2 linked regions of the Lepisosteus oculatus genome follow. The protein of the gene in region 2 purifies or fractionates together with the protein of the main gene of each other region. This does not show direct contact. Links are inferred from orthologs where the notes say so. Each region holds a gene or a part of one and is shown on either strand. Other genes may lie near its edges. The genes, in order: hadhb and sodium/potassium-transporting ATPase subunit alpha-1.

Region 1 (3,921 bases), on a different chromosome or scaffold from region 2:
TTTTTGCTGTCCTAAAATGCAGAAGAAAAAGTCGTCAACATTCATTCTCCTTCTGTAAGGAAAATGTAATAGAACCCTGATCTTTTTCACAGTTAATCCTAAGATTGTTAAACAAAGTATTTCACTTACACTGAATGATCATAAAAATCCAGGTATGATATCACGACTTTCCGTTTATGAAGGATTCACAATTTTAGGAAATGCAAAATTTACCAAAAAAAAAGGAAAAACTGATTTAAAGCTTGTTTGTAAATGCATATATATATATAGAGGTCTTAAAAAGAAACAAAACACTAAACTAGATAAATAAATATCTAATAATGTTTAGTGGGGTACAAGTCAAACAGCCCCCACTGTTTTCTGTAGCATTTAATGAACATAACTACAACTTGTCTTCCCTTTTCATAAATGACAACTTCACAACAGTATTAAAGCTTTAAATGCAAAACAATCCACCTGCATTATTTCAATAGTTTTATTTAAATTCAGCATGATGTTTTTTTCCGTGCCTTTTACATAGCAACCACATGAACCTAAGTGAAAGGTTGTTCTCAAGATAATAAGCTTGATTTGTGTGAGAAGAGTCATTTCTTCACATAAAAAGCAGCAGGGTTACAAAAACTTTATAAAACTGTACCAATCCTAATCTATTAAGAAAGAAAATAAAAAAAATCAGTTCAATAATGGCCTGCGACTAGCCCATTTCGTGGTAAGTACTAAAAGTACAAGAATCTCAACCAGCCATTTATTTAAAGAATCTAAGATATCACAGCTTCAGCATGGCTGGGTAGCTTGTTCCAGACTCCCACAACCATTTTGGTAAAGAAGTGTCTCCTGTTCCTGTTTTGAAACGCACTTCTTCTTGTGTCCAATGGTTCATGTTTCACTGTTCATTCTGAAGGATTCTGCTGGGTTGACACTGCCAATGCATGTGAGGATTTTGAATCAGGTTCTGGATAATATCCCCCTATAGCCTTCTCTGATCATAACTAAAAAGTTCACGTTTCTTCAGCACTATAGTGTAGGACAATCCCTTCAGCCCCACAATGTTACTACTCCTTTCTGGATGGATTCTAGAGTAGCAATATCTATTTTATAAAAACATGGCGAGTTAAATTGTATACCATATTCTAAATGATGCTGTCCAGCACAGCAGACATATGACAGGTTTTGGTGTCAAAATTGTTTGACTTCATGGTTGACCTTAATGACATCTTTGAAGTGTTTTTTTTTTTTGCCTTCTGCTTGAGTGTATGAAGTTGTCTATCCAACTTCACACACACAGGGTATTCCAAATGAAGTCTGCATCACACAAATGTTAACATAACCCCCTGAGTTAAGTTCTACTCTTTTAAATATTTATCCTGCCATTTTGATAAAACGATAAGACAGTAAACTGTTCTGCAACGTCACTGCCTCAGTCTACACAAAGAAGCTGCATTCTGTTCTAGGAGACTCAAAAGCATTTTAGTTATCTCTCAAGCACTTCTATATATTTGACATTTAACTCCACCTTTTCAGAAATTCAAGGTAGTAAAACGCATACGGAATTCATATTGTACATTATATTCACAGATCGGGTGTTCCGGAGTGAGAGTTTCCTATCTGGGTGGAAGCACCGCCCACAGCTACACTTGACCTCTCACCTACTTCTCCAACCTCCATACCACACGAGCCTCTGCAATGAAACAATACATTGCAGTTCATTTTGGTTGGAAAAGTAAGGTCTGTGATAATCCAATCCACACAATTCAAGAACTGTGTTCCCTTTAATGGTTACACAAATCCCGAGATTAACAAAAAAGTGGGGCACTTCTTACTGGTAAAGAGAACTTTCAAACGATGTTGGAAATGCAAGGCGCTTGCAAAAATAATACAAAATCTGGCTCCGACAACGCTCGCTTAATTTGGCACGATTTTCTCGATCTAGAATAGAAAATGAATTATTCACATAACGTACCAAATCATAACCAACCTTTAAAAAAATATTAATCAGTTATCGAAAACAGTACCGATTGCAACTTATTGATCATTGTATTTCATTCACATAAAGATAACATCTATACGAACGATGCAATGTTAAACTATTAAGTAAGAGGAGTGTCACTGAAATAGAAGCGCCTGAATTTCAAATTACTAATGTGAAAACTGCAACGCAATGATTTGCACCTGATGTTTCCCCATGACTTAAAAAAAAACAATGCATGCTGCTTTACATACTTCTCTGCTTGTTTACACATGTTTTAGCGCTATGTCTGAAAGCATTACCCGATTTCTTTTCTTTCTGGCGAAATACGCTCACCTTGTCCGTAACGGAATACTCACACGCAACACCCAAACCCTGACTGACCCGGACACAACAAGCCTTACAGTTGTCTCTCTCTAAGGACCTTCGACAGGTTGTGCTTTCCCAATCCTCGCCTGACATCCTTGTGCGGCTCGTTACATTAATGAAATAATAGTAGGAAATTGAACAACAGTACAAACTGGAAACCTTAATAATTTAGAATATTTAGACTTTTATATATATTTAAATTTTACTTTTAGAAGCTTTCTCTTATGTTTTGTCTCAGGCTTATCTGTGGTGTCCTCAACAGATATTAATACTGAAGGTCCTAGTCTGCTTGCCAAAGGTTGTTCTCTCCCTTGTCTGAACTTGACTGGCAAAGATGGCTGGCGTAAGAGCGCTTGGAATACTTTCCAGGTTTGCAACGAGCAGATATTCACTCTTTTCAGGTAACTGAATATGTTAGCTTATTAAGATGCTGGGTGCCACCTGCACCTTCCTCTGTTGCCATTATTGTTTAAGAAAAGAGAAGTTTCTTGGTGCTGGATGAGTGGGTGTACAGTATGCAACTGAAGCAGGTCTGCATTGACCTTTCACCTACTTAAATAGTGACAGTTACTTTGATAGAAATGCACACAGAAGTCATAACATAAGGGTTTTGTTGTGTCTATTGTAGCTGATGCATATAAAATTGAATATTTTTTCTAAGGCAATTTGTTCCTTTATGCGTTTTGCAGTTTTAATTCACCCAGACGTTGCTCTCCTTTTTATTTTTTTCGTGATTGATTTGCTTTCTTTGAGTCTTAAAGGCAATTTCATTGAATTTAATCATGATTATTAGCGTTCTTAATAGTTAATGTTTTGGATTTTTGTAATTCTTTGAAGTAAGTGATTATAGTGCAGTACTACAAACAGCAACGCTAGGAAAAATTAAGACTTTTTCTACACACTGAGCACAAAGACTGAACACACACCAATGTACTCAGTCTTACAGTTTTTGTTTATTCTCCGTAGGGTGTGAGAGTTTTCTTTCCTTATGTGTATTGCATTCAGTTAGTTGAATATGGAGATTTGGAAAAAATACCAGAATGCTGTTAATCACTCTGCAGTAATTAAAGTTACCTTTTAATATGGAGGAGCATTCGTTCTACTTGACTACTCAAACACAGAATTGCTAAAGTATTAAATGGGGTGCCGTGCAGTTTAATATTCAGTGTTAATTATAGTGATCAACTTCTGTGCCTCTGACTTAAAGTTCATAAAAAGCCTATAAAGTATATTCATTTAATTTTTGGAAGGCAAGGGGAAAATCGATTTTATTAAGGCACACTGAGCCTATGTGGAGTGAAAACGCTGTTGCTGTACCTTCTTATACCTTAACATTCATGTCACTGTGGCAAGAGAAAATCACTGCAGTCTTCAAAACCCTTTCAGTTTAAGGCACTTTTTTATTCTGTAAAGATGGGAGAAATCAGTTCTATACGAGGGAATATAGATATTTCATGAAAGAGGTCAGAATATTAACAAAAGTTGATATTGTATGGAAAACATAAAACTGCTAAAAAAGCTATAGGAGCTAAACCATGTAGTGCTCTTAGGTCAGTGCCAGTTAAACTTTATTAAAGTAGTAAAAT
Region 2 (3,921 bases):
TAGAGACTGTATCCAAGAAGTTGGGGGAAGCGCTGAAATGATTGTAAAATTTAAATTAAAACAGGGAAATTCATTCTGAAATCTAGTCGATATTTAACTGCAAACTAGATGTTATACAAAGGGGATTAAAAGTCCCCTCCACCCAATCTTGTTTCTTTAAGTATTCAATATTTTAGGCAAAAACTGTGGTTTGTTTTACTGGCATTTTCTTTCTTTGAAATGGTCTTGCCAAAGTTGGGTACAGTATGTTCTTAGAATGGATTTGGGGAGGATTCTCTGACTAAAAACATTTCAGGAAAGATCCAACAGTGAATAAAGACCAAGAGGCTGACGTAAACTAGACAGGCACCAATCTAAACTCAGATCAAGATATTCAGAGAAAAAGCTCATTTTGTAGAATGCCTCAAAACAGTTGTTGCACATGTACAAATCTTTGGACAGGTATACCACTCAGAAACCTAGCTCAGCAGCAATGACTAATAAATACATTCACACCTCAGGATATTCAAAAGTAATTTGCTTTGCCTACAAAGGATTGGGTTATAAAGTGATTTTTTAGGAAAAAAAAAATCAATACATAAGAAACCCCACGTTCACTTAGTTTTAATGAGAAATTATGCTGTACAGGGACAAACAACTCTTCCTTTGACTGTCAAAACCAAGACAATTTGTCACTCAGATGCTAAATCTCGTAATCTTCAATTCACCAGCACAGAGGAAAAAAGGGGTCTGCTGAATCCTTTCACAGAACCTGATCCACTTTCGGAAAAGGTTACCAAGTCCTAAACAGTAAAAGGAAAAACTTCAGCTGACCGATTTTCATTCCCGCATTGTGAAACAGGTGCGGTGGGGGATCACATGTTGTAGGAGGGTCACGATCACCACTTTTGCCATTGTTAGGGTGACAGAGTAAAGGAAAGATGCCAAGCCCTTTCTCTGCATGTCCCACATTAAATCAGCTCTCCTTGTGTCTGATGTTCTGCCAAACATCAGAGTTAAGATCACTGAGCCTTCATGACAAGCATATAACAGTCTTTCATTTTCTATTACCGAGATGGATAAACAACAAGAGTTCAATTAATCATGACTAGGATGTAAAAAAGTGTTACATCTTTAAAGGAATTGCTTAGATATGGGCTCACCCTAGGATTTTATTCTTAGAGACGTTACAGTAGCCAGACTTTGAACCTTGAACATATTTTAAATATTGTTTCCGAGGACAGCACACAAAGCCAGGCATTGGCTGGAAGAACCTACAGAACTGCTGCTCTTCCATATTAATGAGCCCATGAATAGCAAGTGTGTTTGGGGTTCTGCGGGCGTACTGGCAACTGCAATAAGGATCGCATTTCCAGCCGATCAAACAACCACACGACAGAATGAAAAGGGTTACTAATTATTTCACAAGCATACGGATTCAATGATCAGCTACGAGAGAAACGCAACTGTAACTTCTATAGAATACTCACTACACCTCCAGAAACCCGGGCGCACCCCCCAAGAAACCGTACAAATCAAAATGAGGTCACACTTAGAAAGGCCGTTTGTTACCCACATATTAAGCCGGAGATCTACTTAAATCAGCTTTCCTCTACCTAGCAACATATCTACAAGACACGGTTTTGAAAGTCTTCAACTAAAGTCTACGAGTCACCATGTTTTTTTTTCCCCCCCAATTAAAAGTAGGCTAACCTCCAGACGTCTTAAAGTTGGCTTTTACTTAAGACAAGAGCTTTTTGAGAATCGACGAGAATCAAAAAGTGAAGGACTCGCCCCTGTAAAGCGTGATTTTGTCTCAAGACGCTACATTTTTTGTAGCAAAAATCGCGTTCAGGAAACGGGCCGCCGAAAAAAATAAAAGGCTAGCAGTCTCTAGGAAATAAAAGTGGCGAGTTCATTAACGAATATCCCTCAGAAGAAAAAGGAAATGTGTGCAGAGTATTATAGCCATGAATCATAATCAATAAAAACGCATAACCAAGAGTATAGTTTTGGATTTCAAATTTAAGATCATCCCTTTTTTATTGAACGACGTTTCTGACTTCCCTACCGCAGTTTTCTAGAAACAGACAGGTTCATTTTTGACACCCTCACATTTAATTCAATACGATGGTCTCGCACTCCCGTCGCCTCCTGCCTCTGCGCCACTGCCAGCACATAATCCACATCTGCAGCTCCAGCCCTTCACTCTTACGGACCAGAACCTCGTTTTCTCTCGGAAACCTGAAAAGGAGAGCTGAGCCGACATCCGGCGAGCACCACCACAGATGACAAACGAGACGTGCGCCAATTTCCCCAGCACATGATTTGCTCAGTTTCAACATACCGAAGAAATCCAACATGTGTTTTATTCTGCTACCGTTTGGTGCAGCGCGCACACACACACAAATTAATAAACTTAAAACCGAAAATAGTTATATTGATGTCAATAAGTTAACTAATCTGTTTTAGTCACAAGACGGCGAGTTTAAGTTTTCTTTCCCTTTTCTTCTCAGCGTGGAAAACTGTAGGCCACGCTTAACAAGTAGGAGGAAGTTACACGTTATCTAGCCGTTTTTTTTTTCCTTCCCTTCATTCACTACTACTGTAATCCCAGACAACGATTATAAAGCAGCCCGTATTCACACGTCAGGACCCCCCAGGTATAAACTCGACTCGCAACTCCCAGCCCCGCTCCTCACGACTGGCTTGCGCGCAGCCGCCGCCGGCGCCTGGTGAAATGTAACCAGCTCGCCGCCCGACTCCGCCGACTCTTCGATGCGCCTTGAACTTTCCGCGCTCCTCAGTCAAGTAACCAGCGCGGATACAGGTCCGCGGCGGACCTTTGATACGGGCTGGCGCCGCCCGCACACAACTCTGGGGCTGCAGACAGCTCCTTAGTTGCCCCCGTCCCCTCCCCAGACAAAAAAAAAACACCACCTGTATGAGTGTGACTTATGCTGCCTTTGGCGCCGCTCTCTTAGCCGAGGGCAGATTGTCAGGCACCAGACGAGAAAATTGAGAAGATCACTTACTCCAACTCCCATGTTTGCTGTGTTTTGTGTAAATCTTCCTAGCCGAATTCCGAGGAGTTAAGAACAACTGATAAATCTTTTGGATCGGATCGGGTGTACTTTGCTGCGCTTGGCTGTCCTCAGTCCACACGCCGCACCTCTCCGTAGCCCACAGCCGACCTCCCTTGGCTCTCTCGCCGCCTTCCAAATACTTATATACTGGGTTCGTTCGACGGTGACGTCTGCACTTTTTGCCATGGTAACCTTGAAATGAGGGAGGAGTCTTCCTCCTTTGAGTAGATTATTATTATCAGTTCTCCTGATAAACTATAAAGTTACTTTCATTTACAATCTGACGCGAATGAAAAGTTCATCTGTAGATGAACGTACAAATCTGCCGAGAATTTTTAGCAGAAAAGCGGAGCTGTCCGTTTTTTTTTCAACCTTTTGTCAGTTTTGGGTAATGCACTTTCGAGTATGCTTGTATTGCAGTTTTTTTTGTTCAGCCGGTATACAAGACGATCACCCAAGAGCTTCATTCGAAAGATTTATCTGAGATGGTGATTATTTACCCTCTCGGTGTGTGAATGTTTCTTTTTATGGCGAGGGGTTGTAAAAATAATACTGATTTAGTTTTTGACAGCATTTTCAACAAGAGCCTTGTTGTTATACTACTCTTGGATATATAACGCAATATTTATGTTTGAATAATTAAAAACTAGGATTATTTTAAAGTAACCTTTCATTAACAGATAGAAGGATGCATTTTAAACACAGATGGAATTTTTTTCTGACCTTGTGCAATTAGGCTGTGACCTGCACAAAATGAATGAGGTCACCAAAAAGAAACACAATGTTTTTTCTTCCTAAAATTACTTACAGTACTGAACACGCTCCTTCCTCAGTACCCTTACTAACTTAAACTAAT

Evidence for each region.
Region 1: the proteins of sodium/potassium-transporting ATPase subunit alpha-1 (region 2) and hadhb fractionate together in Homo sapiens (co-fractionation; 3 studies listed by BioGRID, with this or other methods). This does not show direct contact. The link is inferred for Lepisosteus oculatus from reciprocal best matches to the Homo sapiens genes ATP1A1 and HADHB.

What each region holds. Positions count from the first base shown.
Region 1 is NC_090697.1:47,019,813-47,023,733, forward strand, and holds the start of hadhb (trifunctional enzyme subunit beta, mitochondrial), read right to left. Parts: upstream 2,406-3,921; 5' UTR 2,303-2,405; exon of another isoform or gene 2,269-2,302; intron 12-2,268; 5' UTR 2-11; coding exon 1-1. Other genes in the region: trifunctional enzyme subunit alpha, mitochondrial, read left to right, coding at 2,670-2,736. UniProt on the Homo sapiens protein: Mitochondrial trifunctional enzyme catalyzes the last three of the four reactions of the mitochondrial beta-oxidation pathway.
Region 2 is NC_090710.1:32,970,003-32,973,923, forward strand, and holds the start of sodium/potassium-transporting ATPase subunit alpha-1, read right to left. Parts: upstream 3,196-3,921; 5' UTR 3,027-3,195; coding exon 3,015-3,026; intron 1-3,014. UniProt on the Homo sapiens protein: This is the catalytic component of the active enzyme, which catalyzes the hydrolysis of ATP coupled with the exchange of sodium and potassium ions across the plasma membrane.